4 linked regions of the Lonchura striata genome follow. The protein of the gene in region 1 binds, or shares a complex with, the protein of each later gene. Links are inferred from orthologs where the notes say so. Each region holds a gene or a part of one and is shown on either strand. Other genes may lie near its edges.

The links.
Region 2: ARMC7 (region 1) and uncharacterized protein LOC110483994 share a complex: the UniProt entries of both Homo sapiens proteins name them as parts of the minor spliceosome. The link is inferred for Lonchura striata from reciprocal best matches to the Homo sapiens genes ARMC7 and SRRM2.
Region 3: ARMC7 (region 1) and SF3B5 share a complex: the UniProt entries of both Homo sapiens proteins name them as parts of the minor spliceosome. The link is inferred for Lonchura striata from reciprocal best matches to the Homo sapiens genes ARMC7 and SF3B5.
Region 4: ARMC7 (region 1) and CWC15 share a complex: the UniProt entries of both Homo sapiens proteins name them as parts of the minor spliceosome. The link is inferred for Lonchura striata from reciprocal best matches to the Homo sapiens genes ARMC7 and CWC15.

The regions. Positions count from the first base shown.
Region 1 is NC_134621.1:5,394,455-5,402,514, forward strand, and holds ARMC7 (armadillo repeat-containing protein 7), read right to left. Parts: upstream 3,424-8,060; 5' UTR 3,276-3,423; coding exon 3,209-3,275; intron 3,135-3,208; coding exon 2,991-3,134; intron 2,156-2,990; coding exon 1,818-2,155; 3' UTR 1,126-1,817; downstream 1-1,125. Other genes in the region: NT5C (5'(3')-deoxyribonucleotidase, cytosolic type), read left to right, coding at 260-376, 458-600. UniProt on the Homo sapiens protein: As a component of the minor spliceosome, involved in the splicing of U12-type introns in pre-mRNAs.
Region 2 is NC_134637.1:299,529-308,543, reverse strand, and holds the start of uncharacterized protein LOC110483994, read right to left. Parts: upstream 3,717-9,015; 5' UTR 3,713-3,716; coding exon 3,465-3,712; intron 1,027-3,464; coding exon 931-1,026; intron 1-930. UniProt on the Homo sapiens protein: Required for pre-mRNA splicing as component of the spliceosome. As a component of the minor spliceosome, involved in the splicing of U12-type introns in pre-mRNAs.
Region 3 is NC_134605.1:50,067,500-50,073,653, reverse strand, and holds SF3B5 (splicing factor 3B subunit 5), read right to left. Parts: upstream 1,354-6,154; 5' UTR 1,276-1,353; coding exon 1,015-1,275; 3' UTR 868-1,014; downstream 1-867. UniProt on the Homo sapiens protein: Component of the 17S U2 SnRNP complex of the spliceosome, a large ribonucleoprotein complex that removes introns from transcribed pre-mRNAs.
Region 4 is NC_134604.1:39,648,542-39,656,956, forward strand, and holds the start of CWC15 (spliceosome-associated protein CWC15 homolog), read right to left. Parts: upstream 3,815-8,415; 5' UTR 3,690-3,814; intron 1,819-3,689; 5' UTR 1,811-1,818; coding exon 1,680-1,810; intron 1-1,679. UniProt on the Homo sapiens protein: Involved in pre-mRNA splicing as component of the spliceosome. Component of the PRP19-CDC5L complex that forms an integral part of the spliceosome and is required for activating pre-mRNA splicing.

The sequences.
Region 1 (8,060 bases):
ACAACCCACGTGCTCTGGGCAAGCAGAAAGTGCTTCTCACACTCAACAGCTGAGCCACAGCCAGGGCAGTGCTGAGTGAAGGTTGTCACACAAACAGGTTTTATCAGCATCCTGGGCCGCACCAGTCTCCATGTGGGGATTCCTAGACAGCCATGAAGGTTTATAGAGGAAAGAAATTGCACTACTAGGGCTGGTCTGACAGGAGCGATGTGCAAACGGAGAGCACAGCAGGATTTTCTCCTATTCCTTGTCTCTACAGTTCTCTGCAGGGTAGAGAAACACTTGGGACCGGAGTTTGTGGAGCGGATTATTCTGACCCGAGATAAGACCGTGGTGGCTGCTGACCTGCTGTTTGATGACAAGGACACCATCCAAGGTTTGAACAGCATTTCCATGGCTGGCTGCTGGCTGGGGAGCCACCCCACGGCTGATTCCAGCTTTTCCCCCCTTCCCACAGGCGCGGAGCCAAACCCGAGCTGGGAGCACATCCTGTTCACCTGCTGCCACAACAGGCACGTCCAGCTGCCGGTCTGGCGCCGGCGCCTGCGCTCCTGGGCCGACGACTGGAAGGCCATCCTAGAAAGCAAGTGCAGGCAGTAGGCCGGGAAGGGGATGCTCTTCCCACTGCCAGGAAACAACCAGCCCAGCCCCTGCCATGCCCAGGAGGCTCTGTCACTGCAGGGATCAGCCACAGAAACGAGCTGCTCCTGTCAGACAGTGCTCTGTGTTTCTGGAAGATTGCTCTGCACCGTTCATCTCCTTAGTGTTTTGGATGTTTGCTGTTGGAGAAGAGAAACTATAAACTACAAGCAGCTGTGGTTGGATTTTTGTGTGTGTTTAACCTCATTCCTGTTTGGTTTGTGCTGTCTGGGGCCAGAGGGGAGAGAAGAGGAAGAAGGCTCTCAAATGTAAGCAGATCCAGTGTGGGTGTCTGTCAGGAAGCACTGAGCTCAAACCTTTTAAATTTTATGTATTTAGCCACCCTGGTTATGGGGTTTCCTCTTGCCTCATGGCTGATAATGAAAAGAGACTAGGCTGGCTTCGATTTTTTGGCCCTTGTGCTTGAGTAAGAGCAGGCAAAGGCTGCAAGTGCTGGAGAAAAATATTCATTAGCTCACACAGAAATGATTACACAGCATTTAAGTTAATGTTTTATTAACAGAAGCTTTTACAAGAGAGCTGTTCTCATGAGCCAGGCTGTCATGAGCCCGTTTTTTTTTTACTTCACCTTTCTCATCAGTGGTAATAAAGACAAACTTAGCACTTCTTCATTTATAGGGCAGCTACAGCCTGCCTACCCTATGTAATGATTCCCTAGCTGGCTGCCTGTGCCACAATTAGAGGATGGCATAACTAGTGCCACAGGGATGGAGAGATTGTGAACGGGGCAGGGAAACTCCTTTCTCTGAAGGAAGAATACCTTTCTGTGACATTTCAGTGACTTGACACTTAGCGTCACTTGTCACAGACACTTAAGGGGAGAGGTGTAGCACAACCAGCCAGGAACCGGAGTGGATATAATTCTGCTCAATAACCTGAGCAGAACACCCCTCTTTACTGGGAAGTGTTATTTGTGCAAACCGTGTGCTGAGCTGCAGTTGGCAAAGCACTTTCCAATGTGCAGCTATGACCTGCTTTATTTTAAATATTTGCAGGCTTAGCTGAACGCTTGGCCCAGCTGCTGTGTTAGTGCTGTTCCATCCTGTTTGTTAACTAAACACCAGCACTGGTGGCACCAACTCCTCTCTTTAATGCTGCTCTTGACCTGCTGAGCAGAAAGGGAGAACAACAGGAGGTTCCCCTCTCCACAGCCCTGCTCAGTCCTTGGGCAGAGGAATGCCCACTGCCGTGTGCTTGCTGAGGTTCCTGGCCTCCTCCACCTGTGGAGGGCTGCAGTAATCCTGCAGGAAGATGGATGCCAGGTTACTGAGGCGCGTGTTGGCCGAGAGCGAGAAGCGGAGCATGCATTCCACCACGGGCAGCGCCGTGGTCTGCGCGCGCGACCGCGGTGTCGTCAGGAACATCAGCGTGGTCACGGCTGACACCACGGTCTCCTCGTTGGAGCTGGACAGGCAGTTGATGATGGGCTCCACCCCGTTGGCCTCCAGGATGTACTCTTTGTTTGTTTTATCCAAGCACAGGTTGCAAAGGCCACCTGGAACGGCAAGAGGAAAGTGTCCGAGGTGACGCAATTCACAGCTCATCCTATTTCTATCATCCAGATCTTCTGGATGGATGGAAAATTCTTAACGATTCCCTAGGCTGTGCGTTTTTGATTGTTTCCAGCGATTTTCCACCAGCACGCTCCGGCTGCCTGTCATTAGAGGGCACTGTTACTGCTGCACATAACTGCTCCCACACAATGATTCCAGGAACGCTCACTCATCCCTAAGGGAAGACACAAGCCAGCAGTTTTATTGCAGGTGCTATAGAAAGCCAGAGAATGGAGGTAACAGAGTTAGCAGTCAAGAAACACAGAATGTTTGAAACTTGAAACTTTTGAGATGCAGACACAAACCTTAAAAATCAAATCCATTTAGTATCATCTCACAGAACCACTCACAGCATCTGGCCTTTTAGCTTATGTTCAGACAATGAAAAATCGTGGTAAGGTAGTTCCTCAAAAGATTTATTAAAATTGTCAAGTAAGTATTCTAGAAGACCAGTTGCCAATATCAGAATGGTTACATGGATCTGTACAGTGTACCTGGCAAAATATATGTATTAACAACTGCTTCTCTACAGGACAGATTTCAGTACAAAGTTAATCAGGTAGTGTTTAGGAAAAAAAACCACGAAACAACAAAATCTTTTCCAGATAGTGTCTTCATTAAGCTCTGCAAGGACATGGAAGACACACCTGCCTCTGACTTCTCTCCCATTGTGCACTAAACGAGGCTTTATCAGCACAGTGTGGGTTTGTTTTTGGAGCCCTGGGTGACTCTGGGGCAGGTTAAGGACCAGACCTAGGGTGCTGGGGCAGCGCTTACCCATGGCAAACTCCACGAGGCTCTCGTTGTCCTCCGTAAGCATATCGAGGAACAGGTCCAGCACCTGGAGCTGCCGGAGATACTCGTAGTTGCTGGGGTCGTAGGCGAAGTTGGCCAGGTTCGCCAGCACCTGCTCCTTGGCCTCTGCAGGGGAAAAGGGTCGGTGCGTGAGGAAGCGGTCGGCGCGGAGGGGGCGAGCGAGCAGCGGCGTTTGTTACCTGTGCTGTCCGTCACCTGGAACTCGGTGACGAGCGCCTGCAGGTACTCCAGCCGACCCAGTTCCATCGGGGCACACCGCACGGGCTGCCCGTTGCACCGGACTGGGTGCTCCGAGGAATGGAGACGACACGCCCGCCTCAGCGCGGCGGGAGCAGCCCGCCCGCCGCCATTTTGTGGGCGGGACACGGCGGTGCCAGCTCCCCTCAGGTTGCCGCCATTTTGTGGGCGGGACAAGGCGGTGCCAGCGCCCCTCAGGTAGCCGCCATTTTGTGGGCGGGACAGGGAGGTGCCAGCGCCCCTCAGGTTGCCGCCATTTTGTGGGCGGGACAGGGAGGTGCCAGCGCCCCTCAGGTTGCCGCCATTTTGTGGGCGGGACAGGGCGGTGCCAGCGCCCCTCAGCGGTCGCCATTTTGTGGGCGGGACAGGGAGGTGCCAGCGCGCCTCAGGCGGCCGCCATTTTGTGGGCGGGACAGGGAGGTGCCAGCGCACCTCAGGCGGCCGCCATTTTGTGGGTGGGACAGGGCGGTGCCAGCGCCCCTCAGGTAGCCGCCATTTTGTGGGCGGGACAGGGAGGTGCCAGCGCGCCTCAGGCGGCCGCCATTTTGTGGGCGGGGGGAGGCCCGCGCCCCAGGGGGAGATGTGGCTGTTCCGCAGCTGGCTCTCTCTCTAAATACATTATATATAATTATATACGTTCTATAAAAACAAATTAGCCTATGTCGAGGTATTTGACTGTCTCATTATATGGCAGAGCGTTGCTGTTTAAACGTGTGGTTTTGCAAAGCAGGTAACCTTTCCCCACTGATTTCTTACTCAAAGAATTTTCACCTCTGTGCTTGTGCTATTCCATCCTAATGCTGTTGTCCTTGGGGTAGTGTTGCTCCTGGATCAGTTCCAGTTTAAATAACGGGATTGTCATTCATGAAGCTGAGGGATAAAAAGTAAAAACGGGACACAATATGTGCACAGTGAGGGAAATTATCTGTGAAAAAAAAATGAAACAAAGCCAGGGAGTGAATTAAAGAGCAGCAGGTGATTCTAGCTTGGTTGTACAGTGGTTTAGGCACAGAGCAAAGTGAGTCCCTTGTTTTGAAGTAACACAGCTCGGTGAAACCACCACAATTTTACCTGCTGCAAGAGGGTTCAATTATGGTTCATGTTGTGTAAATATACAAGGTAAAGGTTAATAAAGATCATAAACTGTAGGAGTGGACTCTGCAGAAATTTGTACTGCTTTTATTGAAGCAATTACATGCATGGCTGTTCTGTGGATAAGGCAAGGAACAGGCCGTGAGAATTTTATTTTTTATGTTATCTCAAATACAATTGATTTTTATATCAAGCTAATTAGTCATGGACTGATCCACATGGCACCAGTGACAAGGGTGGTGGGCTGATAACCCACACAGCTGAGGGCACTGAAATATCTGCCCATTACTACAATAAATAGAAGGATGAGCAAAGAAGCTTCACTGAATGCAGTAATGCTAAATATTTTAACATTGTAATGGTGTAGGAAGATACAAAACATGAAACACAAAACATTTATTTCTATGTGGTATAAAAGTTTAAGCCAGGCTAAATGCTAACAACTTTAGCTCTTCACATGATTATCAACTGAAGTCAGTGTGTATTTATGTATATGTTTAAATATATACATGTATTTTTATCTGCATATTTGAATATATCTGAAAATTATCAGCAAGGTGGTACGAACTGTGTCTATATTAGAATGTTTTGCTAATGTAGTAAGAAATCTCCTCTAATGTGTGCCTTTATAAGTGGTAAGTGCTGCTGTACTTTAAATCCTCATCTATCATTAAACAGAAGGTGAATGAGAAATGTGGGAAAGCAGGAGCAGAGAAAGCAAACACAGGGAGCTAGTCCATGCAAACAGAGCGCTGCTGGGATTGACTAATAATGGAGGGGGGGGGGGAACTGTGTTTAAAAAGGAAAAATGCAATTACTTCTGTTGGTAAGAACTGCATTTAACCCACCCGATATTGGCGGTACAGTTTAATGGTCTGAGTGCTCCAAGCAATGGCTGTTTGCCAGAGCAGTTCCCAGAGCAGGGGCTGATCTAGCCAGGGTAGTCACAGCTCCAGGGGCTATTCTGGTGACTTCCATAGCACACCGAAGCCAGAATTCAGGAAATTTAGATTTCTAGTAGTTGTTTCTTTTCTTATATCTACTAGATATGTCTGCAAGCAGCAAGACAAGCTCTTAAATGAAGTGATTTTGCACTTCAGAGGCGTCTTAGAGTGTGTAAGATTGCCGTAACCTTTATTTGGGGGTTATTGCTATTAAATGTATATAATTAATATTAAACTTTCTCAAGTATTACCCTGACAAAGAATCTTAGGCTTTTAAGGATCATGATCTTGCAATATGTTAGTGTGAATGTCCCCAGTGTGTTTCATTTCAGTGATGAAATGTGCTTCTAGCCAAAATGTTTATCTTGCAATAGTGAGAATATCTTCAATGATAAAGGGGGCAGGGGAGGGGCAAGAGAGGACATGGCTCAATTTTTGTGGCTCTGTTATTTCTCAGAGATTTGTAACCTAGCTGAGTTATTAGTGTTTGTCCCAGGGTTGTTTTACTGTCTGCAGGTGTTAAAGGAACTGCTTCGGTGAGGCTGCTGTTGCCTTGTGTAAAAGGCTGACCTTAAACAAATGAGGGGAATTTTTATCACTTTCTTTTCCTTCTGGTCCCCAAGATTCCTGAGTGTTGCTGCACCTGTAGGATCCCTCTGAGGGGGAATATTTATTATTCTGTAGCATGCTCAGGTCTCTCTTGGTATCCTTTGCCAAGCTCCTGCTCAAGGCAGCTTGGAGTCCAGGTGGGAAACACACATGGGAGAGGAGACCCATGGAAAGGAGAGGAGTTGTTTTCTCTGTTATGGGAACTAAGACATCATATTCACCTGTGGAAACACAGCATAAAATGTAATACTTCTTGACTGCTGAGGATTTGCTTCAAACCTGTGGGTTGTGGATTACTTTTAAAGGCTCTGTGGAAAGTAACCAGGGGAGACAAACCTGTTTTCAGGCTTAAGTTCTATTAGAAAGGTTTCAGTCAGCAACTTAAGAAATGTTAAAATAACAGGTTTGTGAATTTGTTGTTTTTCTTCCCAGAAACCTCTCTCTGCACCTGCGAATAAGTCCCAGTGACCCCAGAGATAAGTCTGGGAGTATCAAAAAACACTTCTGAAAAGTGTCATCCATCCTAAATTATCTTGCACAATCAAGAAATTATCAAAACAGGTATCTTTGCCTTGGTGTAGGAGGAGCTGATCTCTGTGTCAGCTTCAGTTGGTGAAGATTTTTTGGTTTTGCCCTGTACATTTCCTTTTTTATGAAGCAGCCAAGGCAAAAGCATTACAGGTGGATCAGCTGGCTCTATGCAGGAGGTGCCTTCCATTGCTCCTTCACCTAACCTTTGTTTCCTGTCAGAAATTTTGGTGGATTGTAGCTTACACCATATCTTGCCTATTTTGTCCAGGACATTTGTAGCAATGAGAGGATCTGGGGCCACATAACCTCATATTTCTGTAAGAAAACAGAAAGGGAGTGTAGAAAGGTGAACAGAATTTAAAATTTAAGAATTACAGAGAAAATGGCAACCTGTTCAGCTGCTTAGCTGTTTATTTGCAATAGCTAGAAGAAATTAGGGATTTAATCCCTTTTTATTGCTTTTTTGTGAGAAAGCCTCTTCATTTTCTTAGGAATGTATAGAAGTCTCTTTTGGTAAGCTGAGAAGCACCAGTCCCTCTTTACTTCATAGTTATGGATCGTGTAAGCATTACATAAGTTAATAAACACATGTGATGAGAGATCAGATATGTATGTCTCCCCCTAACCATCTTATTTAAGTATAGGTTTGTTCAGGAAATGCAAATCCTCCTGGGTCTGTAATCCCAAGACAGTATTGAGCTGTAGGAGCAGGAGCCTGTCTGAAGGGCTGACTCCCGTTTTGTGTAAAAGCCACCTGTTAAGCCATTGTAGTCTCTGAAGAACGTGGAGTCAGTTTTTGAATGGTTTCATGCAAAGTGTTTTTTTTTTAATTGGTTTGTTTGTTTTTTCTGGGGAGCTCTAATGAAAGCTGTGGGTTTGTCACTAGGAACGTGTTAGGACAGTTCTCCAGATAAGCACTGCAGCTGAGTTATAACAGTTCTTAGACAGGCACTGCAGTTCCATTGAAGGCTGTTACTTCTTCCATTTCACTCCCATTTTGTGCTTCCATCTTTTTGATTGTTCTGATGTGTTGGGTTATCTTTATCCGTGTGCTTCATGAGCTGTTATCTGTGTCTGTTGGATCAGGGATGACACAGAATATGAACAGTTTGCATCTTGAGCTGATGCTGAGGCTGCTGCAGCCATTGTCTGAGCAGAGACAAGCCTAAATCCTGGGAATGTGGCAGAGAAAGCCACTTACACTCAAGGCTGTATGGATAGAAAGTCAGCAACACTGGCTTTTTCCACTATGCTTCCCCCACAGATTTCTTTGTAAGTTCTGCTTCTATGAAATATAAGTTATGTTTGTGCAAAGTTCTCTATAATGGGAATGCTGGTGTAATTAGGTTCAAAAGTCTAAGACTAAAGAGCTGAACTGATCTCCACAAAGAGGAGCTACAGTTGCTTTGTATTTTGCCCTATAAAAGGATGCATATCCTTATTCATAGGTCTGATATTACCCTCCCTGCCACAAATTGGTTCCAGTTGATGCTGAAGAGTGTTTACATGAGCCATGAATCCTCTTTTATTATATATTAAACTGCACTTGAGATATCAGTAGTTACACAAAGTAGGCACTCGAAGGCATGGTGGGTTGGTGTGGTTTTTTTTTTTTTTG
Region 2 (9,015 bases), on another chromosome or scaffold:
CTTAAAAGGATCAAAGACAGCAAATCCCAAAATCCTGCACCTCAATTAATGGTCATTAACAAAAACTAATTAATTAAGGCTTCATTAACGAATATTGAGATCGGTAATGAGCTTAAACCCCCAAATTTTCCTCCCAAAATTCACAATTTCCCTCCAAAAATCACCTTTTTCTCACCCAAAATTCCCTTTTTTCCCCACCCCAACCTCCCCCCAATTACTAGGGCTGGTTAATGAGTGGTAATTAAGCTAATTAACAAAGTTATTTTAGTATTAATGACTGAAAAATCTCCAATTTCCACACAAATCCCACCAAAAACGTCCTTTTTTTTTCCCTCCCAAAATTCACTTTTTTCCCCCAAAAACCTCTCTGGGGAGCTGATTAAGAAGAGATAATTAAGACAATTAGGCTAATTAAGCTAATTAACGAACTTATTTTGGTAGTAATTGAAAAATCCCCAATTCCCACTCAAACCACCCCAAAAAATCTCCTTTTTTCCCCCCAAAATTCCCTTTTCCCCCCACAAACCTCTCTGGGGAGCTGATTAACAAGGTATAATTACGCTAATTATGCTAATGAACCTAATTAACAAACTTATCTTGCTACTAACGACCCCAAAATCCCCAATTCCCACTCAAACCACCCCAAAAAATCTCCTTTTTTCCTCCCCAAAATTCCCTTTTCCCCCCACAAACCTCTCTGGGGAGCTGATTAATGAGATATAATTACGCTAATTATGCTAATGAACCTAATTAACAAACTTATCTTGCCACTAACGACCCCAAAATCCCCAATTCCCACTCAAACCACCCCAAAAAACTCCTTTTTTCCCCCCAAAATTCCATTTTTTTCCCCCAAAACCCCCTCGGGGACGGCGGTTAACGAGGCGCCATGCAGCTAATTATGCTAATTATGCAAATGAGGGGGCTCACGTGGGTTTCTGCTCGGGGTCGCCGGGCCCCTCGTCCTTCTCCAGCAGCATCGTGCGGAACGTGGCCACCTTGGCCTCGATCTCCTCGGCCGAGTAGCTGCAACGGGGAAAAGGGGGACCCGAATTTGGGGAGGGGTCCCGAGGGGGTCTGGGGGGATTTGGGGAAATTTCGGGGGATTTCGGGAAATTTTGGGGGGATTTCGGGAAATTTCAGGGGGATTTTGGGGGGTTTAAAGGAGATTTTAGGGGGGGTTGGGGGTATTGAAAGGGATTTTGGGGGGTTTAAAGGGAGATTTGGGGTGCCAGGGGGGACCCCCGAATTTGGGGAGGGGTCCCGAGGGGGTCTGGGGAAATTTCGGGGGATTTCGGGAAATTTTGGGGGGATTTTGGGGGGTTTAAAGGAGATTTTAGGGGGATTTTGGGGGGTTTGGGGGATTAAAAGGGATTTTGGGGGAATTTAGGGGGGATTTGGGGTGCCAGGGGGGACCCCCGAATTTGGGGAGGGGTCCCGAGGGGGTCTGGGGGGATTTTGGGGAAATTTTAGAGGATTTTGGGAAATTTTGGGGGGATTTTGGGGGGTTTAAAGGAGATTTTAGGGGGATTTTGGGGGGGTTTGGGGGTATTAAAAGGGATTTTGGGGTGTCAGGGGGGACCCCCGAATTTGGGGAGGGGTCCTGAGGGGGTCTGGGGGGATTTGGGGAAATTTCGGAGGATTTTGGGAAATTTTGGGGGGATTTTGGGAAATTTTGGGGGTTTAAAGGAGATTTTAGGGGGATTTTGGGGGGGTTTGGGGGTATTAAAAGGGATTTTGGGGTGCCAGGGGGACCCCCGAATTTGGGGAGGGGTCCTGAGGGGGTCTGGGGGGATTTTGGGGAAATTTCGGGGGATTTTGGGAAATTTCGGGGGTTAAAGGAGATTCTAGGGGGATTCTGGGGTATTAAAAGGGATTTTGGGGGAATTTAGGGGGGATTTGGGGTGTCAGGGGGGACCCCGAATTTGGGGAGGGGTCCTGAGAGGGTCTGGGGGGATTTGGGGAAATTTTGGAGGATTTTGGGAAATTTTGGGGGATTTCGGGAAATTTTGGGGGGATTTTGGGGGGTTTAAAGGAGATTTTAGGGGGATTTTGGGGTATTAAAAGGGATTTTGGGGTTTAAAGGAGGATTTGGGGTGCCAGGGGGGACCCCGAATTTGGGGAGGGGTCCCGAGGGGGTCTGGGGGGATTTTGGGGAAATTTTGGAGGATTTTGGGAAATTTTTGGGGGATTTTGGGGGTTTAAAGGAGATTTTAGGGGGATTTTGGGGGGTTTGGGGGATTAAAAGGGATTTTGGGGGAATTTAGGGGGGATTTGGGGTGTCAGGGGGGGACCCAAATTTGGGGAGGGGTCCCGAGGGGGTCTGGGGGGATTTGGGGAAATTTTGGAGGATTTTGGGAAATTTTGGGGGATTTCGGGAAATTTTGGGGGGTTTAAAGGAGATTTTAGGGGGGTTTGGGGGCATTAAAAGGGATTTTGAGGGGTTTAAAGGGGGATTTGGGGTGTCCGGGGGGGACCCCGAATTTGGGGAGGGGTCCCGAGGGGGTCTGGGGGGATTTGGGGAAATTTTGGGGGGTTTAGGGAAATTTTGGGGGATTTCGGGAAATTTTGGGGGGATTTTGGGGGGTTTAAAGGAGATTTTAGGGGATTTTGGGGGGGTTTGGGGGTATTAAAAGGGATTTTGGGGTGCCAGGGGGGACCCCCGAATTTGGGGAGGGGTCCCGAGGGGGTCTGGGGAAATTTTGGGGGATTTTGGGAAATTTTGGGGGGATTTTGGGGCATTTAAAGGAGATTTTGGGGGGGTTTGGGGGTATTAAAAGGGATTTTGAGGGGTTTAAAGGGGGATTTGGGGTGTCAGGGGGGGACCCCGAATTTGGGGAGGGGTCCCGAGGGGGTCTGGGGGGATTTGGGGAAATTTCGGGGGATTTGGGGAAATTTCGGGGGATTTTGGGAAATTTCAGGGGGATTTTGGGGGGTTTAAAGGAGATTTTAGGGGATTTTGGGGTGTTTGGGGGTATTAAAAGGGATTTTGGGGTGCCAGGGGGGACCCCCGAATTTGGGGAGGGGTCCCGAGGGGGTCTGGGGGGATTTTGGGGAAATTTTGGAGGATTTTGGGAAATTTTCGGGGGATTTTGGGGGGTTTAAAGGAGATTTTAGGGGGATTTTGGGGGGTTTGGGGGATTAAAAGGGATTTTGGGGGAATTTAGGGGGGATTTGGGGTGTCAGGGGGGGACCCAAATTTGGGGAGGGGTCCCGAGGGGGTCTGGGGGGATTTTGGGGAAATTTCGGGAAATTTTGGGAAATTTCGGGGGGAATTTGGGGGGTTTAAAGGAGATTTTAGGGGGATTTTGGGGGGGTTTGGGGGTATTAAAAGGGATTTTGGGGTGCCAGGGGGGACCCCCGAATTTGGGGAGGGGTCCCGAGGGGGTCTGGGGGGATTTTGGGGAAATTTCGGGGGATTTTGGGAAATTTCAGGGCGTGTTTTTGGGGCGCGCGGCGCTCACCCCTGCTCCTCCATCAGCTCGGCCAGCTCCAGGCATTTCAGCTCCACCCTCCGCTTGCGCTGGTGGTCGAGGATGTCGGCGTTGGGTTTCTTGGCCAGGGCGGCCTCCAGGCGCCTCAGCTCCTCCTCGCCGGGGGGGGGGTCCCCGCCCGCCCCCCCTTTCTTGGGCCGCAGGGCCGAGAGGTTGCGCTGGACGTAGCCGTTGGTGCCGCTGCCCCGCGGCGTCGGCAGCCCGATCCCATTGTACATCCCAGCGCTGGGAACGCGGGAGTCAGGGCCCCCCACATCCCCCAGATCCCCCAAATCCCTGTGTCCAAAATCCCCAAAATCCCTGTGTCCAAAATCCCCAAAATCCCTGTGCCCCAAATCCCCAAAATCCCCCCGTTCCTACAGCCCGATCCCATTGTACATCCCAGCGCTGGGAACGCGGGAGTCAGGGCCCCCCACATCCCCCAGATCCCCCAAACCCTGTGTTCAAAATCCCCAAAATTCCTGTGTTCAAAATCCCCAAAATCCCTGTGTTCAAAATCCCCAAAATCCCTGTGCCCCAAATCCCCAAAATCCCTGTGTCCAAAATCCCCAAAATCCCCCCGTTCTTATAGACCCAAATCCCCCAAATCCCCAAGTTCCTACAGACCCAAATCCCCCAAATCCCTGTGCCCCAAATCCCCAAAATCCCTGTGCCCCAAATCCCCAAATCCCTGTGCCTCAAATCCCCAAAATCCCCCAGTTCCTATAGACCCAAATCCCCAAAATCCCTGTGTCCAAAATCCCCAAAATCCCTGTGCCCAAAATCCCCAAGTTCCTATAGACCCAAATCCCCAAAATCCCTGTGCCTCAAATCCCCAAAATCCCTGTGCCCCAAATCCCCCCGTTCCTATAGACCCAAATCCCAAAAATCCCTGTGCCCCAAATCCCCAAAATCCCTGTGCCCCAAATCCCCCCGTTCCTATAGACCCAAATCCCAAAAATCCCTGTGCCCCAAATCCCCAAAATCCCTGTGCCCCAAATCCCCCAAATCCCTGTGCCTCAAATCCCCAAAATCCCCCAGTTCCTATAGACCCAAATCCCCAAAATCCCTGTGTCCCAAATCCCAAAATCCCCAAGTTCCTATAGACCCAAATCCCAAAAATCCCTGTGTCCCAAACCCCCAAAATCCCCAAGTTCCTATAGACCCAAATCCCAAAAATCCCTGTGCCCCAAATCCCCAAAATCCCTGTGCCCCAAACCCCCAAAATCCCCCCGTTCCTATAGACCCAAATCCCCAAAATCCCCGTTCCTATAGACCCAAATTCCCAAAATCCCTTTGTCCCAAACCCCCAAAATCCCCAAGTTCCTAAAACCCCAAATCTCCAAAATCCCCCAAATCCTACATCCCCAAAATCCCCTGAATCCCCCAAATCCTACATCCCCAAAATCCCCAAATCCTACAGCCCCAAATCCCCCATTCCTGCATCCCCAAATTCCCCAAATCCCCCATTCCTACAGTCCCAAATCCCCCAAATTCCCCAAATTCCCCCTGCCCCAAATCCCCCCTCACTGACCCCAAAACTTCCCTCCCACCCTAAAAAAACCCTTTTATAACCCAAAATCCCCACTTTTCTCCCCAAAATCCCCATTTTACTACAGGAATTCCCACTTTTTAACCCAAAAGTCCCCATCTTCTCCTCAAAATTCCCATTTTCCTACAGGAATTCTCACTTTTTAACCCAAAATTCCCATTTTTCTTCCCAAAATCCCCATTTTCCTACAAGATTCCCACTTTTAATCCAAAATCCAATTTTTCTCCCAAAATTCCCATTTCCCTACATGAATTCCCATTTTTAACCCAATATCCCCACTTTTCTCCCCGAAATTGCCATTTTCCCGCATGAATTCTCACTTTTAAACCCAAAATCCTATTTTTCTCCCCAAAATTCTGTTTTCCTACATGAATTCCCATTTTAAACCCAAAATCCCCATTTTCCTTCACAAACTCCCTAAACTTCTCTGGAAATTCCCTAAAATCTCATTTTCCTTCCCAAAATCACTTTTTTTCCAACTCCAATAATCCATTTCCCCCCAAAATCACTTTTTTTTTCCGCTCAAAATCCACTTTTCCTTCCCAAAACAACTTTTTTTTCACTCAAAATCCTTTTTTCTCCTCACAGCGCCCTAAAATAAATAACTTTTTCCCTAAAATGAGAATTTTTGACCCTTTCCTCTCAAGGCTCCTTCAAATTTCATTTTTCCCCCCCTCACACTTTTAAAAAAACTCCATTTTTCTCTCAAAATCCCACTTTTCTCCCTCACAACTTCCCTAAAAAATGGTTTTTTCTCCCCAAAATCCCCTCAGAACTGCCCCAAACCCCAAATTTCCCCTCACAATTTCCACAAAAACGTTTTTTCCCCCCACAAAAATTAAATTTTTCCTACTTACGACCACTTCCACTCCCCAAACTCCTCAGAATTCCCCTAAAATTCCTCTTTTTTTTAACAAAACACCAAAAAAAATCCATTTTCTCCTCACAACTCTCCGCCAAAATTCACTTTTCCCCTCAAAATTCCAATAAAATTACTTTTTTACAAAACACCCCGAAAAAACTTAATTTTCGCCTCAGAATTTTCTCAAAATTCACTTTTTCCCTCACAATTCCCCTAAACATTACTTTTTTCCCCTCAAATCTCCACAAAAATCCACTTTTTTACCTTTGTCTTTCCCCCAAATCCTTTTCCTCCCTCACAACTCCAAAATCTTCATTCTTCTCCTCAAAATTCCCCAATTTCCCCCGAAATCTCACTTTTCTTCCTCAAAATCGCTTTTTTACCTCATAAATTTAAATTAAATTTTAAAGTTTCACCTCATAAAATGAATTCTGATTAAATTTTACTTCACAAACTTTAAAAATCTCCATTTTTCCCCTCCCAACACCCCAAAATTCTGTTTTTCCCCCAAAACGACAATTTGTCCCCTCAGAATCCTCCAAACTCCAATTTTTACTTTAAAACCCCAAAAAATTTCAACTTTTACTCCTCAGCTCTCCTAAAAACCCTAAACTCCCTCAAACTTCATTTTTCCCCTCAAAAACTTTTTAAAAATCGGTTTTTTCCCACTAAAAACACTTTCCCCCAAAAAACTCCAATTTTTCCCCTCACAAACCCTGAAACTCCTAAAAAAATCAGTTTTATCCTCAAAAACTCCCCAAAACCCCACACCTCAAAAAAAAAAAATCCATTTTCCACCAAAAATTCATTTTTTTCTCATATTCCCATTTTCCTGCAGAAATACCCCAAAATTCCCATTTTCCCCTCTATTTTACCCCAAATTTCCCCACACTTACCAAAAAATCCTTTTTTTCATCCAAAATCGCCTTCTTTCCGCTCGAATCCGCTTTTCCCTCCTCAAACCCTCATTTTTTACCCCAAAATCCCAATTTTCCCCTCAAAATCCCATTTTTTTCCCCCAAATTCCGCTTTTCCCCTCACAAACCTCCCAAAAACCACCATTTTCCCTTCAAAAATCCCCCAAAAATCAACATTTTCCCCTCAAAAATTCCCTTTTCCCCCTCAAAACTCCCCGAAATCCAACCTTCCCCTCACGAACCCCTAAAATCTTATTTTTAACCCCAAATCCCGTTTTTTCCCCTCATGACCTTAAAAAATCTCTTTTCACCCCCAAAATTCCATTTTTTCTTCCCTCACCTCAATTTTTTTCCCTTTTTGCCCAAAATCCCATTTTTTATACCCCAAACCCAAAATTTCCCCTATTTTTCACCCTGAATTTCCCCATTTTTACCTAAAAAATCCCAATTTTTCCTCCCTCACCTCAAATTTTCCCCATTTTTCACCCAAAATCCCATTTTTTCCTCCTTCACCCCAAATTTTTCCCCTTTTTTATCCAATATCCCATTTTCCTTCCCTCACCCCAAATTTCCCCTTTTTTCACCCAAAATCCCATTTTTTCCCCCTCTAAAATCCCATTTTCCGCCTTTTTCCCCCTCAAAAAATCCCAATTTCCCCCAAGACTTTCTTTTTAACCAAAACCTCCCCTTTTTCACCCAAACCTTTTTCACCAAAACTTTTCTTTTTCCCCTCACACTTCCCTTTTTAAACTTTCGCTTTCCCCTCACGACTCATTTTTAATTGTTTTTAATCCCTTTTTTCTCCCAAATCTCCACTTTTCCCCCAAACCCCATTTCCCCATCCCGAGCTCCCCCTTTGCCCAAAATTTGTTTTATTTTCCCCAAATTCCCATTTTTTCCTCCCTCACCCCAAAACTTCCCAATTTTTCACCCAAAACTTCCTCATTTTTTACCCAAATTCCCATTTTTACCTCCCTTGCCTCAAAATTTCATATTTTTTACCCAAAATCCCATTTTTACCTCCCTTGCCTCAAAATTTCCCACTTTTTACCCAAATTCCCATTTTTCCTCCCTTGCCTCAAAATTTCCCCATTTTCACCCCAAATTTTCCCCCTTTTTCACCCCAAATTCCATTTCCATTTCTCCCCTAGATTTCCCCATTTTCCCCTTAAATTCCCCATTTTTCACCCCAAATTCCCATTTTTTCCTCCCTCACCCAAAATTTCCCAATTTTTCACCCAAAACTTCCTCATTTTTTACCCAAAATCCCCAGTTTAAGTCACTCACCTCAAAATTTCCCTATTTTCTACCCAAAATCCCATTTTTACCTCCCCTGCCTCAAATTTCCCACTTTTTACCCAAATTCCCATTTTTTCCCTCCCCCACCTCAGAATTTCCCCATTTTCCCCCTAAATTTCCCCATTTTTACCTCAAATTTCCCCATTTTCCCCCTAAATTTCCCCATTTTTACCTCAAATTTCCCCATTTTTTACCTCAAATTTCCCCCTTTTTCACCCCAAATTCCCATTTTTTCCTCCCTCACCCAGAATTTCCCAATTTTTCACCCAAAACTTCCTCATTTTTTACCCAAAATCCCAGTTTTAGTCACTCACCTCAAAATTTCCCTGTTTTTACCCAAAATCCCATTTTTACCTCCCCTGCCTCAAAATTTCATATTTTTACCCAAAATCCCATTTTTCTCCCTCACCTCAGAATTTCCCCATTTCCCCCTAAATTCCCCATTTTTACCTCAAATTTCCCCATTTTCCCCCAAATTCCCATTTTTCATCCCAATTCCCATTTTTTCTCCCTCACCTCAGAATTTCCCAATTTCCCCCAAATTCCCATTTTTTACCTCAAATTTCCCCATTTTCCCCCAAATTTCCCAATTTTTTACCTCAAATTTCCCCATTTTCCCCAAATTTCCCCCATTCCCCCCCAAATTTTCCCTTTTTCACCCCAAATCCCATTTTTCCCCCTCACCTCAGAATTTCCCCCCAAATTTCCCATTTTCCCCGATTTTCCCCACTTTTCCCCTCACATTTCCGCTTTTTTTCTCCCCTCACGCCGCCCCCCCCCCCCCCCCGCTCCCGCCAAGGCCGCGCGCGGGCCTCGCCCCTCCCCCTCCCCTCCCCCCCTCCCCTCCCTCACCCCCCCACCCCCCGGCCCTCACCTGCTCCCTATCGCCGACAGCTCCGCTCTGTCGCGACA
Region 3 (6,154 bases), on another chromosome or scaffold:
ACACAACAAAGTCTGAAAAATGCTATCTCTGAATTCTTCAGAAGATGGATGTACTGACTTGAGATCACTGATTTCAGAAAATAATCACTGACAAGCTTGCATAGTGCCTTAATAGGACCACAAAATGCTGGACTTTCCCCTCCAATGTTAATACAAAAAAACATGACAGAAATGAGAATATGTTATTTCTCCAAGAACATATCTCACTTGGGGCTGAGGTCTTTCCATCTATGAGAACCCAAAATTTATTTTTACTGTAAGTGAATAGAAAGCCTATTTTAAGTGACAAATCAGAATCAGCATCTGTTCAGCATGCAATGTGATCCAAGCCTGTGTCACCTCAGAGCATTTTACTTTGAAGCAGTAGTGAGTAACCATTATATTCGTATTCCATATTAACAGAGCCCAACCCAATACTAGTATCTTTATTTGATGTAAGGTAGGAAAAACTTGAATGCTAGGTTACTAGAAAGCATAAAGGGAAAAAATAGCTAATGTGTATCAGAAAGAATCAAGGTTTGAAAAATTCAGAGGTACAGGAAAAAGGAAAATGAGGCAAGAAAATTGTTTAAAGAAAAGCCATTTTGGAATTTTTAAGTACTAGAGGAACTGGCTTATGCTACACCAAAAACCACTCCATATAATACTGCTACCAAGACATCAAACCCTTTGAGTACCAACAAAGTTCCCCTCTCTCCCCCCAAAACTGAGTTTTGTAAGGAAGCATCGATCCGCCCGGTGGGAGAAATGCTGTCTAGGAGTATCCGATGCTTTCACCTCGGATGGTTGCGCTGAAATGCCCAATACCGAGCACCAGCGCTCCCGCGGGAACAAAAAGCTCGTACAAGGAAACTACCAAACCAAACATTAGGAATGCCCACGAAGCTTTATTATATTCCACTTGAAAAAAGGCGAGCAGTCAAGAGTCCCGAGGCAGGCATTTTGCGAGGCTTCTTCCCGGTCAGTCCTTCGGGAACCACAACGGGAGAGGGCCGGGACCAGGAGGACGGAGGGTCAGGACTCGTCGGGCTTGTCGGCGGGCGGCCCGCAGGGCTGCAGCATCTTCTCCATCAGGTTGAAGCGGACGCGCGCCTTGCTCTCGTTCTCGGCGATGGCGAAGTAGTTGAGCAGGTCGAAGTGGCCCATGTAGGAGCAGTACGAGTCGCGGTGCTGGTTCACCAGCCACTCCCACTTGGTGGTGTCGGCGTGCCCCGTGCCGATGTACTTGGACTGCAGGTGCTCCAGCTGGCTGTGGATGGTGTAGCGGTCCGTCATGGCGCGGCGGGCGGGCGGCCGGAGCGCGGGACGGCGGAGCGCGGGACGGCGGGCGGCGGGATGGCGGAGCGCGGGACGGCGGAGCGCGGGACGGCGGGCGGCGGGACGGCGGGCGGCGGGATGGCGGGCGGCGGGGACCGGCCTGGGCGGCGGGGCCGGGTCTGGGCGGCACGAACGGGCCTGTACAGCGGGATTGCTCTGGGGGCCGGGACGCTTTCCGGCGGGCGCGGCAGCGCTTCCCGCCGCGGTTCCTGCCGCAGTGCCCGAAGGGAGCGCGCCGGGAAGAGCCTGCCGGGAGCTGTAGTCTCCTGGGGGGCGGGCCTCGGCGTAAGTTAATATTGATGTCGTAGTGAAAATAGCGTACTGTCGGTCGGATCGCGCCACTTGGCTAATCCATAGTAAGGCAAATGTAGTTAGAAGGCTGAGCCGCCATCTGTAACGCAGGGTTATTCTAAAGCACGTACGTGAGGGTTCAGGCGCCTCAGACTGAGGCAGATGCTCAGCTGAGCCTCGATGCAAAGCCTGGAGCCTCCCGTCAGTTTGCAAAGCAAAGATACGGCTTTGATAGTGATCCATTCACCTGGAATCCAAGGGACCTGCACTGTCAAATCTGGCTACGAAATACCCACGTCGTGGAACACGGGAACAGCATCGAAAAGTCTCTCCTGGCAGCAGGTGTCAGAAACAGGAAAGCAGAGCCCGGGGCTCACGCTTCGGGGCACAGCTTCATCCCATCCCGACGCTGCCTCTGTATGAACCGCGGCTCAGGGCTGCTTCCCAAAGAAGCGACATGGAGAAAGAAAAAGCTACCACCAAACAACCCAGGAGGTGCCAAGAGCAGCCCAACACCCCTTTTCGTTAGCCCTTAGCTTGGTGAGAGGGCAATGCACCACTTGCTATGGTCACTCTCACCCAAGTCCACATAGAGAAGGGCTGAGGAGGGCACAGTATTTGCAGGTCCTCCCAAAATAAGAAGTTTGGTGAGGTTACTTCTGCTACATACAGCTGAGGAAAGTTCTGTATGTCCCATCCCTGTTCCTTTGTAAGTTGAAGAGCTGAGTTTATCTTCCCCAGATGGGCTGAGCAGAGTCAGGTGATTTAAGTCAAAATTAAATACTAATGTTGAAAAATATTTTTTACAGTGTGGCTAGTATTTTATCTGAATGTTAAACTCACAAGCAGATATAAAACCCACAGAAAATATAACTTGTGTTGCCTATCTTCTTTTGGTCAAACTCAAGCTTGAAATAAATATTATCATCCATCAAAATAGTTTTTTCCACCTCTGTTCGAGAGTTTACATAATGTTAAGTTTAAAATGTGTGAAATTATTCATGCTTTCATATGCTAGTAATGTTTTTAATTATTTGTTTTAAAATAGGAAAGACACATTGCCAAAAATTTTTCAATAGGACTGAGCTATTTCTTCCTGTTCTTGTAAATGCCCTGTAGTCAAAAAGAAATCCACAGAAATATTATGTGAAAACACAGATGATTCTATGCCCCTTGTTTAAAAGTGAGTGTCTTATAAAACCAGGGCCATATAAGGCAATGTAAAAACAACGTTCTGAAGTGTCCTTACAATTCTGTGCAAAGAGCTAAGTGAGGACTATAATTTTTTTTTTTTTGTTATTTTTATGAGGATCTGTTGAGTCATTGCTACCAAGGCTTACTTAGCTGGAAGCAGATTGCACAGCTGGATATAGCAGTTGCATTCTGTGGTTGCTTTCAGAGAGACCAGGAGAGGAAAAAGAAACAAACACAACACTTTAGGAGTTTCTATGTATGCTGGCTTGCAGAAAGACAAAAAAGGACATATTCTCAACAAGGAAGAGCTTTCATTTCTTTTTTAAATGATGTTTTTTTAAAAAGTGGGATAGCAAGAAGAATGCTAGCTTTTAATAGATGTTCCATGCCAACACAGTGACACACGGGGCTGCCCTCACAGCTGTTTGGAAGTTATCCTCTTGGAAACTATAAACCAGGAGATGTATTGATTAAAATAGCCTTTGGAGAAGAAAAATTCCCAGAAGCTTATCTATCTCTTGTCGATGTTGCAGTTTCTAGGAGTAATAACTGCATTAAATTAAACAGGTGTAATAGTTCTCATGAAAGAAAAACAAAAACAAATGAAAACCAAAACCAAAATAAACCACAACAAATCCCCAGCCAACCAAAGCAATGAAACAACAACAATAAAAACCCAACCAACCAAAAACAAAAAAAAAAAAAAAAAAAAAACACAAAAAAAAAAAAAAACAAAAAAAACCACCAAACTTGACTGAGAAGTGTGAATCTGAAATTTTCAGCAAGTTTGTTACTGGGCCAGATTAAAATGCTGCATTCAGGCATCCAGAACTCTGGGAAAGCACACCAAAACTTCACTCTATATTGGCTTTGGTCAAGAACTTCTGAGACTGCCAGACGAGCTTACCAATTTAAGGAAGAAAAAACAGGTAGTAAAATTTCCAGCTGACAGGCAAACCACAATTATCTACAAGTAACTACTTAACTTCAATTTTAATCTAAAAAGAAAAAGTTCCATCTGCTATCTTTCAAGAATTATATTCAATTATATTCTCTTTCTCTTCATTTCTTATTCTTTATAAAAATAAAATCTATTGTAGGGCCTTCTTTTTCTTGTTTGGTCCATTTTGTACAAAATGAATGCCTATGCTAGGGCACTTTCATTTCAAGTTTAGGAATATAAATGAGTGGGGGAAAGGAGATGCATATATATAGGGAGAGGATTATTCCTCAGTGGTAATACGCTTGTATGACTAGGATTCCTGAAAAAGCAGCATTTTCAGATATGTTGAGGGTTTTGTACTGAATACCATTAAATATCATTATCAGAATATACAATAATGGATGCTTACTTATGGAAATCACATAAATGTGCTGATTTTAGTGCTGAAATTATCTGTTTGGAGAGTAACACCGTATCCCTTCAAGCCAGGTTTCAATAGATTGAGACCCTGGGAGGCTGTAAGAGCTGGAACAGTAGAGGCCACTGGGTGTCAGAGTTGGACTTGTCAAAATTCTTCTTCCATAAAACGGAGTGATTGGTTGCACCTCCGAAATGTAGAGTAAAAAGGGTAGAGGGGGCTGCTGGACCAAGAAAGACATTGTCAGTGGCTGCCCAGTACAAGATACAACCAAATTTTTGAATTCCCTACGGACTCTTTGGGTGGAAGTGTGGAGACATAAATACCCTGCAAACAAGGGGATGTGACGATCCTAATAGATAAAACCAATACACATCCAGAAAGATGATAAAATGGGGAGGTATGCCTTTTTTTTTCTCCCAGAAATTCCTCTATTCTTCACTATATTGATTTATCCTACAAATACAGTGATGAAAAAAAAATTGAGATTGCATTAGCCTAGAAAGAATGGTGCTGGAATTTCAATAATGATAAGAACCCATTGTGTATGTGGCATGTGATTTTTTAAAAGTATATATTTCATTAAAAATATTTGCTTCTGCTAAAACAGGGTTCTTAGATCATTATTTGCAGAGGCCACTTAGCAGTTTTAGGCTGGAAAAGCTATGTTTTTCTAATTGCATATTTGGGGTTTTTTTTTCAGATTTCTGATTCTATCACATGAACTGTGATATAGTTTCTCAAATGTTATTATAGCCTATGAACATTATCAGCCTCAGAAAGCCCTTATTTTGGCCCTTTAAGAGGTGGAAGACAATTTTGCTGCTTTTCTCAAAGATCCTGTGAAAAACATTTTTCACAATCAAGCCTCTTCTTCCACCTTGTTTGATGTAAACTCCCCTGATTTCTTTCTTTTCCTTGTAGTCAGAATCATGATTTTGCTGCCATCTCATAGCAGCCTTTGGGCTGCTTCTGGGACAGAGGAAACACAGTCCTTGCAAGCATGGTTAAGTTTCAAACTTTCTTTCACTTTAAAACTATGTTTTGCTTTGTTCTTGCTTTCATTTATAGAGTATAAATATTCCAAAATCTCAAAGCTGTTTTAGGGTTGTATGGCTGATTCTCTGCCAAAGCTATAGATTGGAAGAATGTGGAGTAAAAAAAATCAGGAAAGAAGAAATACTGTGTGTCCTACCACTAAGGGATACACTTTATGCTGCTCTGTATTAATGTAAAGATAATCACATTATCTTGAATCAGACTGAATCTGGAGAAATTCACTCCTGAAGAATTGTCATACTGAGGAGATCTATGACCTGCACTAACAGTGTCTTACCTAGGAGCAGCTTAAGGATCACAGAGACTGGGCCTTGGAGCTTCACACTCCATCAGTTCCTTCTGAGTACCACTGTGATGCTCTACACCTCCTGTATGGGGCTGAATAACAGCTGTGTGCCTTAGGTGCACAGGACAATTGAATTAGCTTAATTTAGGTGCCACTGAGAACTTCCTAGCCAGGCACAGGAGCACCCTAAAAGCAGAAAGGCAGTAGGGATCACTAGCACAGTGCTTACAGATGAGACACTGAAATAATGTGGTGATCTGATGAATGTGGTGTGGAGGGAGATGGAGCACAGCAGAGGCCTGGTAGAGGCAGCTCTCACTTTCTGCTTAGGGGAAGTTCTTTATTCCAAAGCTATAACATAGAAAATAAAAGCCTGTCCAGTGATGTGATTAGTTACCTATTCAGGCTAAAAACAGCGCCAGTAATAGTCTGCCAGGTGAATTTAAATTCTGTCCATATATGTTTTTGTAATGCGAAAGGTTTGTCATGCATTTGGAAATCGAAGTAATAAGAATAAACACAACAAAACTGGGGAAGAAATACTACAGAACTCTCCAAGAAGCAATTGTATTCTGCCCATTTTCTTTGCATTTCTTTTCTTCATTCACTCCAGATAAAGTGCTACAGCTAATACAGTTCTTAATTG
Region 4 (8,415 bases), on another chromosome or scaffold:
ATTTCACTATGTTGAAATATTCTATTCTCCAGCAGTCCAATCCCAGTGTCCTAGTAGACATCCACAAACATCATGGTCACCTTCCTTCATTGCTTCACTACCCAAAGCTGCTGCTGCAAATCCAATCTCTAAGACTTACAGAAAAGACCAAGACCAATAATAAAAAAGTTGGGAGAACAGGCAAAACACTTCATAAATACATGCCACCCCTCTTTTATGTAACAACACACCAGCAAAAAGCGATGAACTACATATATCTGAGCCAGATTAAATTCCACCTAGAGGCTGCTGAAATTTTTGTGGATGTCTTGAAAAGAACTAGTGAATAAAACAAGCAGCAATTGCTTTCACCTCTCTGTCAACTCAGTGCTGGAAGTAAGAGTGCCTGGAAGAAACCCAGACGTGAGCCATTATAAACACATTGTTTGCACAGCCTGTCTTTATGATGAAGCATTTAATTTGCTTTTGTAATTAAAAAACTGAATTTGGAATCATTGTTAGAGCTGCAAAATCTCCCCAAAGCCTGTGCCATGCAAACAAACATGAGTAGGATTGAAACACTGGAGTTGTCCTGCAGTGATGCAGTCCTGGCAATTTAACAAAGACAACATTTTGTTAGGTATTTGGGAGGAAGAACAGAAGACAATTGATGCTCCCTCTCACACAAAAGGATGGATTTAAAGCATTCATTGTATATTCCCATACATACCTATCCTCGCAGACTTCTTCCAAAGCAATAGACTGGTGTTCCAAACCCCACATGTTTTAAAAACAATCCACCAGGAATTTTCCTCATACCAGCAAAACACATTTGACAAAACTTTCCATGTTCTTTGTTTTGGTACTCTCCAAAACACTCAGCTACCTTATGAATATATATTCTTAAAAACCAAAGGGACAGGAGGGAACAGGTGACAGGGTAAATATCTACACAAAAGAGTGCAAAAGTAAAACCTTGACAGTAATTCCACTGAGAAGAGTAATACCAGTTAGATAAAATGAGCATTTTTAGACTGACACATTTAATTTAAATTCTATCATACTGACTCCAAGTTTTATTTACTCTTTCAAAAAGCTAAAAATTTATTATTCATTTCAAACATAGGAAAATATTCCAAAGATCACATTATCTTGCTCTTTGGTTAAAGAAATTTCTTCTCCCAGGACCTGCATAAACCACTTGCAGCTTAACATCAGCTCTTCCAGCACATCCCATTACCTGAGTGCTATTCCATGGCTCCCCTGCCTCCTCTCAATGCCCTTACACAGTGGTCCTTTGCCAAATACATAATGTGGTTTTCCTGCTTTTAAGATGTGCTCAACTTCACCTCTCTTACTCCAATGTGCTCTGCAAGTGACAGTACTCCTTGTGGCTCAGCCACAATGCCAACTCACTTTCCAACTCACTGCCCAAGAAATTCACCTTCTGATAATGAGTGAACATAAACAGCAACAAATTATCACTAAAATTAAACCTCCCCAAATCACCTACAATGCATTTGAGCTCGTAGCTCTGCTTTTGAGACTTTCAGCCCACTTGTTCAGCACTCCTGCACAATCTGTGGACCTTGCTCAGTGTCAAGCACATCAACATGTTTTGAGGAAATTTTAGAGTACCACTCAAAACAAAACAGTCATTCCCAGCCTGTTTTGCCTGACACTCAAAAAATGATACTAACCTGTATTTGATTTTTGTATGAGAAGGAAGATCTCTGCTAGAATATTGTTTGGATAGCTGGCTTAAGTCTCCTTCACCTTTTCCTCTTCCTCCTCTTGCAGGTTCAAACGTTGGCCTTGCTGCTGTCGTCATTTTCACTCCTACAGAATCAAGGGATAAAACAAGCTGTTACTACAATTCACAGTGTAAGGCACTTATTAGGAGCTACTTTGCTCCTGGAACTGAAGAAGCAGTGACAAGTCCCACTACAGTATACCAGCTGTCACCCAGCACATGATCCTCAAAATTTAAGCAGCATTTTATGGACAGATTCTATTCAGGTTTCACAACAGAGTCTCTTCCAATATGCTTAGAAAAAGATACATGGAGTCTAACTAAAATATGAAGCCACAATTGTAAAGTAAATAACGCCAGACAGAAACTGATCTTCCATCCTTAAAGCGAGCAGTACAGTCTTGTAACTAAGCTCTTTCCTCACCTGAAAAACTGCAGTCAAAAGTACCTGCCTACTGGGAAGAGCCCTTCACTATTGCCCAGACCATTGCTAGGTACCACCACCAGAAACGCCAGCTCACCGAGGCCACAGTGTGCCTAGGATGGTGCTGATCATACCCACTGATGGACACCTGGCAACATAAACAAAGTGCGAGGAAAAAAGCTTGGATAAAAGGGAGAAGCTGTCACCAGCTCTCCCCTAGAAACTGCAGGAACTCAGCATGTCCTAAAAACCAAACTGGCAGATGCCCAAATCTCTACTGTCATTCTGTGCCTAAGAGTGAAGCAGGTTGCAAGCAGCCTCAGCTGCCCTGGGAGTACACAGTGTGTTCAGCACTGCCTGATGGGACTGCAGAGCCCAAACCAAGTTTATGTTGTTAGTTTGTCACTTTGAATGAAAGCACAAAATACCCAACTTCAGCACCAAAGTGAGAATGTGTAGCTCAGAGTAACATTCCATCAGGCAGAACAGTTACAGCCACTGAACTATTACTCAAAAAACAAAATTAACAGAGGGAAACATCTTTAAAAAGAAGCGAGATGGTAACTAGCCTTGGCTTGTTAATCAAGGACAGCTGCCACTTCACAGTGATGCTGTACAAGTCAGCTAAAGCTCAGTGAAGCATTTTAGATCTGTTGGCAGACATTCTGTGAGGCCCATGATCCAAGAAAGTCACTTATTCCTATAACTTATCCTGTGCTAATTATACGTAACACGAGGGATCCATGAAATCAGGCAAAGAACAAGATCTGGTGTGGCTGCAATAGTCTGGAAAGCATCCCTGCTTCTCTTAGGTTACAGAATTAATCAGTTTGGAAAAGACCTCTGAGCTGAGTTCAACCTGTGACTGAAAACAGCCTTGTCAACTAGACCAGGGCACTAAGTGCCAAAATTCAGTCTTTCCTTAAACACCTCGAGGGATAATGGCTCCACTATCTCCTTGGGCAGGTCATTCCAATGTCCAATCACCCTTTCGGTGAAGAAATTCTTCCTAATGTCCAACCTAGAGCCCCACTGGCACAACTTCAGGTCCCTTCCTCTTGTCCTGGGAAAAGAGGCCAACCAAGTGGCTCCAACCTCCTTTCAAGCAGTTCTAGAAAGCGATAAGGTTCCCCTGAGCCTCCTCTTCTGCGAGCTGAACAGCTCCAGCAGCTCCTCGCAGGACTGAATCGGTCTGTATGCAGTCTGGCCTCCAAAGCCCAGACTCAGCCTTTAGCCTCTCAGATTTCAGAAATACTTGCAAAAGCCTCTTTAGCGCTACGAGGAGCTATCGGCCAAGAGAGAGTGACCGAGCTCGGCCTGCAGCTGAACCGCCTCGGCCTTGCCGGCCTGCGCCCTGACTGGGGGCTCCAAATCACAGCGCCAGCCCCGGCCGCAGCCCGGCCCCTCTCCGAGCCCGCCTCCCCCCGACACCCCCTGCCCCAGGGCCGCCTCCCCCCGACACCCCCTGCCCCAGGGCCGCCTCCCCGCCTTCAGAGCCCTCCCGAGCCTCCCTGCGCTGCCCCGGGCACTCACAGCGCGGCCTCCTCCGCCCCGCGCGGCCCGGCCCTACACCGCCGCCATCATCCCGCCAGGCACCCACAGTGCCCCGCGGCGCGCCCAGGCACGGCGCCAGAGAGGGGCCGGCCATGGAGAGAGGGGCCGGCCATGGAGAGAGGGGCTGGCCATAGAGAGAGAGGGGCTGGCCATGGAGAGGGGCTGGCCATGGAGAGAGAGGGGCTGGCCACGGAGAGAGAGGGGCTGGCCACGGAGAGAGGGGCTGGCCACGGAGAGAGAGGGGCTGGCCATGGAGAAAGAGGGGCTGGCCATGGAGAGGGAGGGGCTGGCCATGGAGAGAGAGGGGCTGGCCACGGAGAGAGAGGGGCTGGCCGTAGAGAGGGAGGGGCTGGCCACAGTGAGGGCCTGGCCATGGAGAGAGAGGGGCTGGCCGTAGAGAGAAAGGGGCTGTGACCAGAGAGAGAGGGGCTGGCCACGGAGAGAGAGGGGCTGGCCACGGAGAAAGAGGGGCTGGCCATGGAGAAAGAGGGGCTGGCCATGGAGAGAGAGGGGCTGGCCGTAGAGAGGGGCTGGCCATGGAGAGTGAGGGGCTGGCCGTAGAGAGAGAGGGGCTGGCCCTAGAGAGAGAGGGGCTGGCCATGGAGAGAGAGGGGCTGGCCGTAGAGAGAGAGGGGCTGGCCGTAGAGAGAGAGGGGCTGGCCATGGAGAGAGAGGGGCTGGCCACAGGGAGAGAGAGGGGCTGGCCACGGAGAGAGAGGGGCTGGCCACAGGGAGAGAGAGGCTGGCCATAGAGAGAGAGGGGCTGGCCACGGAGAGAGGGGCTGGCCATGGAGAGGGGCTGGCCACGGAGAGAGAGGGGCTGGCCATGGAGAGAGAGGGGCTGGCCACGGAGAGAGGGGCTGGCCATGGAGAGGGGCTGGCCACGGAGAGAGAGGGGCTGGCCATGGAGAGAGGGGCTGGCCGTAGAGAGGGGCTGTGACCATAGAGAGGGGCGGTGGCCATAGAGAGAGAGGGGCTGGCCGTAGAGAGGGGCTGTGACCATAGAGAGGGGCGGTGGCCATAGAGAGAGAGGGGCTGGCCATAGAGAGGGGCTGTGACCGTAGAGAGGGGCTGGCCATGGAGAGAGAGGGGCTGGCCATAGAGAGAGAGGGGCTGGCCATAGAGAGGGGCTGGCCATAGAGAGAGAGGGGCTGGCCATAGAGAGGGGCTGTGACCGTAGAGAGGGGCTGGCCATGGAGAGAGAGGGGCTGGCCATAGAGAGAGAGGGGCTGGCCATAGAGAGGGGCGGTGGCCATAGAGAGGGGCTGGCCATGGAGAGAGAGGGGCTGTGACCATAGAGAGGGTTGCGGGCGGGCCCGCCATGGCGGTGCCGGTGCGGAAACGCGCGGCGGCGATGGCGGCGGCCTCGGCGGCGGCGGTGGCTATTAGAACTAGATACTCTTTAAGGTCCCGTCCAGCCCAAAGCGTTCTGTGATTCTATAATCAGTGTAAAAAAGCCGAAGCACAAACGACGATCACTAAGGAATTAAATTCCCCCTCTTAAAGTGCAGCTCCTTCCTTGTGTTTGTTGCTCCTTTTAGACGCACGTTATTGCCAAGGCTCTGGAAGGTGAAGTGAAGGGCTCTCTGCTGCAGCTGCGGATGAGCGCAGCCACGCTTTCCCGAGTGCTGACACCCCGCACGCAGCTCAGGAGCGAGCCCGCAGAGGTCCCGCAGGCATTGCCGAACGCGGAGCCGAGCAGCAAAGGCACCTTGCATCAGCGAGCCGTCAGGGAAAGCGCTGGGGAGAACTGGGCCTTTAGAAAGAAACCAAACATTTCAAGCAAGTTGAGCTTCACTCTGAAGTTGAACAAATAGTGACAGTAATTACTATGTCACATCCTAAGAGCTACACCTGTCAATAACCAAGTATCCAGCATTGCGTTTTCTCATCTGCAAGTGTCCATTGTCACCCTTTGAAATGGGTTTATGATTTCTTCCACCACAGACAGTTTAGACTTAAGATCAAACCTTGCAGAGAAGTCTGGCTTCAGGGAATTGGTGTTGTTGGGCTGCAGACCACAGCAGCCTGAACTAAGTGCATCATTCTGCGATGCTGGGTGTTACTCCTAGATTACAAATCTGTGGACTTTAAATCAAGAAGCACTGACTGTTATGGTAATTTGACTGTCCTGGTGCAGCAGAATGTTGTGTTTTGCTCAGTGACATGTCCTGAAGGCAGTGCCTGCTGTTCAGTTGTAATTTCCATCTGGCAGAAGGTATCAAGTCTTGATTAAAGACCTCCAGAACTGAAGGGACCTCTCCTGCTCTTGGGTTAGAGGAAAAGGAGAGTATTCCATTGCCTGTTAAAAACTAACACAATCCCTGCTCTGAGCAGATTGGAAGATTCTTCAAATAGTGAAGGAATGGCTTTGTGTCTTTGGCCAAAACTCTTCCCCAGGGAGCTTCCTTTCCCCCAGATTGTGTGTACCAATGAAGATGTGTTTTATGGTGAAGAGCTTGGTTTCCTTAGAAGACTTGAGCACTAAAGAAGGATATTGGTGAAGTGGAAATGCCTGAGCTCAGACTCCTAAAAATACAAACTCAATTTCATTGCAGAAGCACTTAACCTTCACAAGTCCACAACTTTTGGGTGTAAAGATCTCAAATCATACAGAGCTTTTCCCAATCTTGAACTTGTTTGGATTTAGTTTAGGAGTAAGAAGTTTAGCACCATATTGTCTCCAGGGCCTAACAATAATAGCTGGTTTACTTCCCAGCTCAAGTACTCAGAGATCCTTCATCCAGTAAATATTCTCAGAGCATGCCTGCACTCATCAATATCACCATCAGCTTCTCAGTTCCTCTGGGTCATATCACAGGGCTCTTTCCCAAGGACTCACCCCACACATGGAGAATTATTGCCCCACACCAGGCATGCTTTGACATTTATGGACATTCTCCTTGTGTTTTTGACTAGCCAAGCATAAGGGAAAGGATTATAGATCTACCGAAGTGCAGGGATGTAGACGGGGATACCACTCAAGTTCAGTGTAAAGGTGGCAGGTGTGAATTCCTATGTTCCTATGATTCTGCATTGAAATGTCTACAGAGAGTGTAAACAAGTAGACAGTAACAAACCCCCAGATCTTCCCCCTTCCCATGGCTGCTCCAGTCATTGCTGAGCAATTTGGCTGTGGCAACACTTAGAAAGGTATTGTGTGCTGCATGGAAAACATGAAAAGCAGAAGTCACCACTTCCCTTGATCATTTCCTCCAGTGATTAATTATTCTCACAATTTAAAACTGCACCTTATTTTTAATTTAAGTTGTCTTTGTTTCCAACCACAGGTGCCTTTTGTGCCTTTCTGTGGTAATTTTAAAAGCCTGTGTTCTCACTGGGTATTTATCCTTTATAATCTAGTCTTGCTGCTGCTTGGACTCTTCTAATCTTCTAACACCAGTTATTTGAGGGCTTTTCTTGCTCTCTATTCAATCTATCAACAATAAAAATATAAAAATTGTTTCAGCATCAGCTCCATCAATGTGAACTAGAGAGATATAATCACTTTCCTGCCACAGCTTTCTGTGTGGTTGTTTATCTGAGGATCACACTGGCCTTTTTACACACACCACTACACTGGGGGCTTGAACCCAGGTACATGTCCATGATGACTCTTGAATCCTTAGAGTTGTCATTTTATGGATTAGAAAATTCCATGTAGTCTTTGAGCTGCAACAAATAAACATACTTGCTTGTGTTACGGGCATTTGTCTTAAAAGTAAATCCTTTGCTGGTGTCACTGGCAAAGCCTCTTAGTGTCCCAAATCCTTTATGGTACCTGTACACATTCTCAATACAATTTGCTTGTGGATCACACCAGGAGACGAACATTATTTGGTTATCCCAGTGCTTTAGGATGTTGGTCTCACCAAAGCGATCCTTTGAAATCATGGCAAGACTGCAAAAGACATAGTGTCCTGAAAAAGAACAAAAACATTTCTAAAAACCCTGTGCCTGTTTGGAACCTTGTTAATGTTTTTGTAGTCTACTTCTTAGCTTGTAGTGTTATGAAGATTGTTTATATTCCTAATGGACTTTAAAAACTCCCTTTTAGCCTTGCCAGTGTAGGGATTTTTTTCCTGTTTCCTGTGTAATTTTTCTATTCTTGAAATCTTACAATGTATATTCTTTGGATTTTGGGTCCCCTTTCTTCCATCTCTAGCATTACTCTTACTTACTGATTTTCACTGGTTTTTTTCTGAATCCAGAAAGGCATTTAGTTGAAGCAATTGTAATTCCTAAGTTTTCATGTCTCCCACTGCAGGCTGTCTTCTTCCCACCCTTGAAGTACAGCAGGACGATGTGCAATCTCCTCTTTCAAAGCAGTGCTCTGAAGGTGAGCATTTTCCCCAGCAGGGCAGAGGTTCAGTGCCAGTATGGAACTCTCCCAGCTTGAATTTCCCCCTTGCCTCCCCTTTCTTGTGCGAAACCGATTTTGGCCATCTGAGGCACAGCTTGCATGGCTGATCAGCAGTAAATTGTAAATCCTGTTTCTGCTTTGGAGTGGCCACAGCACTACAGCACCATTTCCTCCCTCAGGACACCGTGTGCTTTGAAGGATTGTGCCTCCTGCTGGGAAACAGATACAGAAGGCCACAGAGGATTGTCAAGAGTGGAAACTTGGTGCAGGAATGCTCAGCATCCAAACCAGCCTTAAAAGAAGTTCGTGGGAAGTTGCTGTTTCCTTGATTGGAAAAAGAAT